Linked DNA regions of Chlamydomonas reinhardtii. The protein of the gene in region 2 interacts with the protein of the main gene of each other region in a pairwise test. Links are inferred from orthologs where the notes say so. Each region holds a gene or a part of one and is shown on either strand. Other genes may lie near its edges.

Evidence for each region. The genes of interacting proteins can lie anywhere in the genome.
Region 1: the proteins of CHLRE_12g506050v5 (region 2) and CHLRE_01g024200v5 interact in binary tests that used the Arabidopsis thaliana proteins (3 or more experiments, as listed by UniProt). The link is inferred for Chlamydomonas reinhardtii from reciprocal best matches to the Arabidopsis thaliana genes CSTF77 and CSTF64.

The regions. Positions count from the first base shown.
Region 1 is NC_057004.1:3,744,239-3,748,385, reverse strand, and holds the start of CHLRE_01g024200v5 (uncharacterized protein), read right to left. Parts: upstream 2,804-4,147; 5' UTR 2,680-2,803; coding exon 2,649-2,679; intron 2,558-2,648; coding exon 2,479-2,557; intron 2,411-2,478; coding exon 2,232-2,410; intron 2,121-2,231; coding exon 2,047-2,120; intron 1,761-2,046; coding exon 1,530-1,760; intron 1,328-1,529; coding exon 1,177-1,327; intron 965-1,176; coding exon 872-964; intron 620-871; coding exon 294-619; 3' UTR 1-293. Other genes in the region: CHLRE_01g024150v5 (uncharacterized protein), read right to left, coding at 3,912-4,147.
Region 2 is NC_057015.1:2,520,890-2,524,964, reverse strand, and holds the start of CHLRE_12g506050v5 (uncharacterized protein), read left to right. Parts: upstream 1-1,272; 5' UTR 1,273-1,438; coding exon 1,439-1,501; intron 1,502-1,901; coding exon 1,902-2,045; intron 2,046-2,427; coding exon 2,428-2,575; intron 2,576-2,964; coding exon 2,965-3,125; intron 3,126-3,295; coding exon 3,296-3,448; intron 3,449-3,628; coding exon 3,629-3,700; intron 3,701-3,907; coding exon 3,908-4,018; intron 4,019-4,075. Other genes in the region: CHLRE_12g506000v5 (uncharacterized protein), read right to left, coding at 1-578. UniProt on the Arabidopsis thaliana protein: One of the multiple factors required for polyadenylation and 3'-end cleavage of pre-mRNAs. Required for the targeted 3' processing of antisense transcripts that triggers transcriptional silencing of the corresponding sense gene.

The DNA of each region.
Region 1 (4,147 bases), on a different chromosome or scaffold from region 2:
AGCTTCAAATCAATACGTACAACGGGTCGCAACACCACTGACTCACGTCAGACAACAAGTCGTGCACGAAAGCCGAACCGCTGTTACTCGTTTCACAGCTGCCGAACCAAGGTGGATGAATGCGCAATCGCAGTCCATTCATGCCCAGAACATCACTGACACTTCCATCGCCTCCCTACCCATACGATCCAGAAGCCCGCACGTCCTGAGCCTGACGCACGTGCCGCGGTTCCTCCGCTACCTGCCGCCGCATCCACACCCGCACCCACGCTAGCACACACACCCGCCCGCGCTCACTGCGGCAACCCCAGCTGCTGCCGCACTAGCATCACCTGCTGCCGCTGCGCCGGCGGCAGCGCGTTGACCTGCTCCACTGTGAGGCTCAGCACCCGCTGCAGCATCTGCGCCTGCTGCGGCGCCAGGTTGGGCGGCAGCGTCACGCTGGCGGGCGGGCCCTCCCCAGGCCCCACCGCCTGCGGCGGCGGCGCCTGAGGCGGAGGCATCATCTGCTGCGGCTGCGGCTGCGGCGCGCCCTGCTGCTGCCCCGCCGTGACGATCACGGCGCCCGGCGGCGCGGTGTACGGCATGCCCGTGGTTGGGTCGATCAGCATGGCGGGGCCTGCACGGTGTGGCGGTATATTACGTGGTTGAGCTGTGTGTCGGTCATTGTGAAAGCGGAAGCGGTGTTGCACAACGACGCCCAAGGAGAGGGAGAGCGTGATCGGCGGCGTGCGCTGTAAAGGTATAGCTTGCAGGTACACGTCTGCCGTAACACCAACTAGCTACTTCAATCCGGCAGGATGCCACTGCCCCCACGTCTTCCTGCACCCACACGAGAGTCGCTCTCGTAGGTATGGGCCGTATGGCGCACCTGGCATGCCACCCATGACCGGCGCGGGCGGCGGCGCCCCCGGCCCTGGCGCGTACGGCGCCCCCGGGTACGGCTGCATCGCGGGCGCCACGCCTACGGGGAGCGGAGTGAGGTTGGTGTGAGACCAGTGGCAGATCAGGGTCACCACATGCAAACGCGTGTTCACCACTCAAGCAACAATGCCTTGCACAGCACGGACGGCAGCTGGCATAGCACGGACGGCAGCTGGCCCTCCTGCAACACAACGGCAGTGAATTGCCGTATGACCTATCCTCGAGACACACTCTCAGCCCAGTCGCGCTCACCCTGCGGCGGCAGGCTCATGGGCGGTGGTGCCACCGGCTGCGGCGCCGGAGGCGCCACGGGCGGCGGTTGTTGCGGCGGTTGCGGCTGCGGCATCGCCGGCAACGTCGAGGGCGGCGCGCTGCCCTTGACCATACCGAGCAGGACTTGCGCCTGCAGGCCGGGCAGCACATCGCATATGCCGTTCAGCCAAGCAGAAGCAAAAGCCCGCGCCCTATGCGAACCGAGCTCGGGCCTAGCCACCCTGCCACCCTGCCCATGACCCTTGTCCACGCATCTGAAGCAGGGAGTGGTTGCCCAGCCCTTTCGCGCCGCACCCCACCGCCTCCCGCATCCCACCGCCTCCCGCCCCCACCTGGAACAGCGCCTTTGTGAGCTGCGGGTTGGAGACCAGGATGGACCGGGCGGTGGCGCTGTTCTGCTGCGCCAGGCTGCGCATCTGCGACAGGATCTCGTACAGCTGCAGCGGCGTCATGCCCGCGATCACAGTGCTGATCTTGTCCTGCGCAGGCCCCGTGTACGGCGCGTTGCCCAGCAGCGAGTTGGCCTGCGTGGCCGCGGCGTTGGCCGCGTCACGGCCGATGGGCTGCGGGGCAGAGGAAGGGAGAGGAGAGGGGGGGGAGCGGGAAGGGGGTCGTGGTGGTGGTGTGTTGGTGGAAGGGAAGGGAGGGGCTTTATTGCGGGCGGATGGCGCAGCCGGTCAGATGGATGGGTAAGCTGGTGCCCTGGTGGTGTTTCCAGGAGGGCTGTGCCTGGGTGTGGCGTGGAGTGCGGCTGTGCAGTGGGGCTGACAGCCTAGCGCCTGCGCCGCCAATCAGTCCGGCCACGCGCATAGCGCCTAGAGGCTTGCCCGTTTCTCTCGAAGTGCTTACCCTCGTGCCAGGTGGTGCCGCTGGCACTAGGCTGTCCGATGGCCCACCGCCTCCTCGACCGCCTCCACGCATGTCTGCAAGGTGATTACAGCCGAGAGGCAGTTGTTCGGGATGCGCATTCAAACGTCTTAGTGCTCACAACACAGCCCGCCGTCTGCGCGCCCCGTGTCGCCCTGTGTGCTTACCCTTCTCGCGCTTCCCTCTCCCGTCCACCGAGTGCTCCTCTGCAAAGTCCACTCGGAGCATGCGCCCATTGACCTCGTACTTGTTGAGGTTCCGCACGGCCGACTGCGCTGTGCCAACGTCGTGGTACTCGCAGAACCCGTACCCCTTGGGTTTGCCCGTGTCCTTGTCCGTCACCATCCTGCACCGTCAAGTCGGATATCAGCTGAATAAGGTTCCAGCTCCGCTTGCCGCCTCGTCCGCACGCACCTGAGCGACTTGATCGCTCCGACTTGGCTGAACATATCCTGGAGCATTTGCTCCGTGACATCGTATGGTATATTTCCAACTGCATGAAGATTTGGGACGGCAATATGTGAGTCGCCTTGCAAAGCAAAGAATGGCGCGCCAGGGCGGCCGAACGAGAGAATGCTGCTTACTGAATACGGTGCATGTTGGTGGTCGATCCATGGTGGCAGTAAGGTTGTCTAATTGCAGTCGCGGTGCTTGGGGAAAGAAAGTGACACCGAATTGGCAACACAGACGGTGACACTTGTCGCTGTGCAATACTATAGTGCGTTGACGTTGAGACAAAATTGGATTCCCGAATGTATCTGGTAATCGAAAGACAGTATACAAGCGCAATCATGGCACGGTCTCAAGGTTCGTGCCGCGGCACGGTTCGATGACACGCACCACGCCGTTACTGCCGCTCCCACTCCCAAGCCCCCGCCTACTTTGCTGCATGTGTATTCAGACGTCTTGCGCAGAAAGTGGGCCACAGCGGTGCGCATTGTTCGAAGTTGTGTCCCACCCCCTGCCCAACCCTGCGCCCTTGATGATGCATGCTGGGGACGTGCTTCACAGGTTCCTGCTTTGGGGCTTCCTGACCCTCCTCGTCCCAGCCTAGGAACTTACAGGCGCAGCTGCTCGTCCCTCACTCCTTCCCCTGTGTCTGTTCTTCCCTGCTGCACAAGATTGAGCCCCCATGTCGCATACATCCTGACCTGCCCCTGTCACGGAAGATGCCCCTAAATTCGGCAATGCCAAGTCGGTACTGCCACGTCGCATGGTGCTTTCACATTTCTGCCATCGATCCGCCTTGATGATGCCTATCGGCGCATCCTCCCCTGGGCCCAAGCGCCGTGGCATAACTGTCACCACCAGGCCGTCGTCTGCCAACCTCTGCTCACCACCCGCAGAACAGGTCCGTTCGCAGCCACTGTTGCCAGACTCTTCACTGTGCCACCGGCCAGCTTAGCAGCATGCAAATACAAAATGCCGAGCTGCAGCTCCACACGGGTGACGTCGCCTATAGTACATGTACATGCAGCCCAAGCACCCTATCCCCGTGCACGTATGCGAGCATGACTCCACGTACAAACAAAAAACCATCCGTGGATTCGTATTGGTGAATTTGCCGATGGCCGTCCAGCTGCTTACGCCGGCCAACACACCAGACAGCCGTACCAGCTCAGCCCTCACCTCAAGCCAGGTCCAGCTCATCCGGGCCAAGCCAGCTGCCGTTCCCAGCCCATGCCGCCGATGCCAACACAGCCCCGGCATGCAGCCCAACGCCAACCCAACCTGTGCCGCCCCAGCCCCAGTCCTGGACCCAGCCAAAACGCTTCTGCGCGCTGCAAGCAAGCACTTTCCCTCAGCCCCATCAAAACGTTTGGCGCCCAGCGCCCAGCAGCGCCTGCTCAGCCCAGGCGCACCTCGCCCACCACCTCGGAATCCGGGTCCTCCTCATCCGGGTCAATGCCCGCCTCAATCAGCGCCTCACGCTCCGCCTCCCTGCGCATCGCATCCAGCTCCGCCTCCGCCTCATCCTCGCCGTAGTCCTCGCCGTGCAGAATAAACTCGCGGTCAAACTGGGTGCGCAGGTTGGTGGAGGCCAAGTGGCCGGTGCGCTCCAGCAGCTCCTCCGTCTCCTCAA
Region 2 (4,075 bases):
CCGGCCGGCTGCTGCTGGAACTGCAGGATCGAGTACGCCACCACCACCTTGGGCACGGAGCCGTCTGGGTGCCAGTTGACGTAGGAGGCGCTGCGCTTGATGTTGTTAGGGTCTTTGAACACCGTCACCGTCTTCACGTGCGGTGCCTCCGACGTGTGGTCCATCGTCACGTTCGTGAAGTACTCCTGGTAGATGTCCACCGCGTTGTTCTGCTTGATCAGGTCCTCCACTGACGAGCCCAGCTGGACAACTGTACGGATGTAGTCCTCATCCTTCTCCACCTTCTTGCGGTACCGGATCGTGTGCTCCGCTTCCGTGTAGTCAACATCCTTGGGCCACCCGCCCTCTACGTGGCTCATCGCCTTGTTGACCAGGATCACCGCGTTGGTGTTCGCCTCATGCTCCGACATCTCCGGCACGCACTGCGTCACCGTCGTGACGGGGTTGCGCGGGATGTACTCCTTGCCGTGGTCCTCGTTGGGGCGGATGTCCGCAAGCATCTCGCTGCCCTCATCCCCAAACTTTGGAAAGCGGCCAAACTGCTTGCGCAGCTTAATATATTGATGGTAGATCTCCATCCTGGCTGCTTAGCTCCTACGCCAGTGATCGGAGGGGTTCTGCTAACCGCTGCTCTGCTGCCTCCGTGTGGGACGCCGGGCGCGAGTTCCCGTGCGTGGCACGCTGCTGAACGCGGCCCCCCAGCTGCGCTCGTGCCTGGTGACGGGTGACCTGCAGTTCCAGAAACCGGTACTCGGTGAAGACCATATAGTTTCCCCTACGCACGCTTGAATACCCAGTCGCGAATAGCCAAAACGCGACCAACATGGTCCCCGGTGCATCCACTCCAACTGGAGCGCGCCTGACGTCGAGCGTGGCTGCAAACCTTACTAGCACGATAGAACATTGCTACAAGCGCGGCATGGCCCCTGCTTGACCCGCGGCTGCCCGGCTCTCGAATTTCTCCACTCACCGACTGTGTTCAGCAATGCCCAGCACGCTCTAGTGTTCTCATGCTGCTAGCTATTATGTGGGCCCAGCCATTCGGTGCAATAAACACGTAGTAAAGCGCGTGCCGAGGTAGTTCCCGGAAGGGCCTTATAACAGGTCAAGCTATTCGGTGCAATTCCAATCACAATGTAAAGGTGTAGCATGTCAAGGCTGCGAGCAATTCAGAGAAAGTCACGAGGTGAAGAGGAAACTTTGCATCCGGCGTCCTCATCCCGGGCGCTCACGCATTTTCTAAATCTTGAGAGCTAGATCGTTAGGCATAATTACATGTGCACTATCTCAGTTTGTACTGTGGCGCAAAGGCGCAGTTTGCAGCCCCCTTAAGAAGGCGGCATCCGCATGCGCCAAAATGAGTTAGGCTCCAGTCTGCTTACACATATTGCTTTGTAATCTGTAAGACGAGCTAGTCATGGACCGGGACAGAGACAGGATGGATCGCGACCGGCGCGGGAATCGAGGAGACAGAATTACGCCAGTGCAGCTACTAGGGAAGGTATGTGAGGCCAAGGTGATGCAGTGAAAGTGAAGGGGGCAAGGCGGGGATGGCACACCTGAACTGGGCGGCGTGCCCGCGTGGGCGCTGCGGTACCGTCGGAGCTGCAGCCACTTTCGGTGTGGTCCCGTGCAGTGGTTGCCCGACGTTAGCTGGATGTACGCCATTACATGGCAGGAGGGGGTGCTGCAGCACTGGGATGCAGTTATCAGCACAGGACGTCAGTAGACCCACAGCGTTTTGGAGCTGAAAGCACGCTGCGCTTGGCGGGCTGGGTGCCTTGCATTGCCTGAGGCGCAGCTGCCTGGCTCGGGATTCTGCCCGCTCACGGCATGCCTGCACAACGTGACGAGCCGCAAAGTATGGTACCTGATGCCGCTAACAACTCTGAACGGGACAGGTCCGGAACCTTAAGGCCAAGAATGCGGAGGACAAGTACGATGTGGCGGCTTGGGACCAAGCGTGGGACGAGCTCAAAAGCATGCCCCTGACGGAGGAGTCCCGGGCCATCTATGAGGAGGTAGTTTCCGCCTTTCCCACCAAGGTGCGTTGGCGCAATGAGGCACACAGCGCGAGGATGCAAGGGCGGAGGGGCGGGGCAGTGAAGCGCACTGGGCGGGAGGCGGCGGGGGGTACGCGAAGAGGCGCGCGCTGGCGCGCGCTGTGCGTCGAGGCGTTGTTACGCGGGGGTTTTAGGCTTGGAGCGTTGTAGGCGGGGTTGCGAGCGTATCTGGTGTGACAGGCAACGCACGACTGGGCGCGGGAGACGAGGCGGCGTCGCGCCTGGGGGCGCTGTCGTCACCTGCGGGCGCATGGCCTCGTCACCAATACCTGTTCATCTCCATGAGTTCCCTTTCATTACCATCACCACCACCACCATCACCGTCGCCGCCTGCCCTCGTCCCACCTGCCCGGCACTGCCGCAGGCGGACGTGTGGTGCAAGTACGCGGAGCTGGAGCTAGGCGGCGGCAACATGTCCGGCCTAAAGGCCATCTTCCAGCGCTGCCTCATGCAGGTGCCCTCGCTGGAGCTGTGGGCGCTGTACATCAAGTTCATCCGCCGCTCCAACAAGAGTGAGGGCGCGCTACGGGGGGGGACGCTTTGTATGGATGTATAGATGTGTGGGGATGGGGGGCGCCGGGCACAACTAGGCAGACGACAACGGAGAGGGGGCGCAGTGGTGCACAACTGTCAAACTCTACACCATGCGGGACGAGGGGGGCTTGCCTTTATCATCCTGAAGAGGAACATGAGGCGTTAAGCCGCAGGGCAGGGGTGCAGCAGTCGGGACCAGATCCAAGTTGGGGCGCTGCAGCACTTCGCATGGATGGCGCAGCGTGGGGCTGCGGGGGCCGATCGTGGCGTCGGCTCGTGACGTGGTGCATGCAGCCCCATGTGCGTGTCCCGAAAGCACGGCTTCAAACACTGTGTTTGTCGCGTGTGTGTTTGCTCCGTGCGGCAGGCAAGGGCCCTGAGGGCGCGGTGGAGGTGCGCAACGCGCTCAACTTCACTCTGGAGGTGACGGGGCAGGACATCAACAGCGGCCCCTTCTGGCAGGACTGCATCACGCACCTGCAGGGCGCCAAGCCGGGCACCCCCGAGTTCGCGGCGCTCTTCCCGCAGGCAAGTCGCGCGGTGCTGCTTTTGTGGCGTGGTGACCTGGCGGTGGTGGTGGTGGCGGTGTTGACGGCCTGCCAGGACTACCGGACACCGGACATGTTAATATTGCATTGTCCTGGCGTTAGGTCACGTGTTGTCGGTTGCGTGCTTGCTCCTGTCTTTCCTCCGCGTAGGCCATGGCGGGCCAGGAGGACCAGGCGCGGCTGGCGGCGGTGCGCAAGGTGTACCAGGCGGCGGTGTGTGTGCCGCACAGCCACCTGGACGGCCTGTGGCGCGACTACCAGCGTTTTGAAAACGAGGGGCCCAACAAGCAGTTCGCCAAGAAGGTGCGGGGCGGGGCGGGGCGGGGTGCCGGCCATTTGGACATGGAGGGAAGAGGTTCGCATGTGCGCGGTACCTGGAGGAGTCGCTGGACAGGGGGAGTTGCTGGTGACTGTGTGGGTGCAGCAGGAGGGCACTGTGGCCGCGCTGACTGGCTGTGCGCCGCCTGCTGCCTGCACGTGCAGGTGCTGGACGAGTGGATGCCCAAGTACCAGGCAGCCAAGGCGGTGTACAGGGAGCGGCGGAAGCGCACACAGGCAAGGCAAAGTACGGCTGCGGGGGTCTGTGAACGCGATTTGCAGTAAGAGGACGCGGGTGAAGGGGCTGGCGGCGCATAACCAACGACGGCTTACGCGCCCGGTCCCCGGCCCTATCCCTTCACCTGCTCCCCGTACCTACCTACCTACCCACCGTGCTGACTCCTGCACACCCACACCCACACCCGCAACCTCCACCCCCTGCAGCACCTGAGCCTGGCGCTGTGGCCGCTGCCGCTGGGCAAGGGCGGGCTGCTGCAGGACACGCAGGCGGCGCTGTGGCGCGACTACCTCACCTACGAGCGCAGCAACCCGCAGGTAGGGCGCTAAGCCGTGGGCGTCTTGGGCGCGGCGCCGAGGCGACGCGGTGCCCGC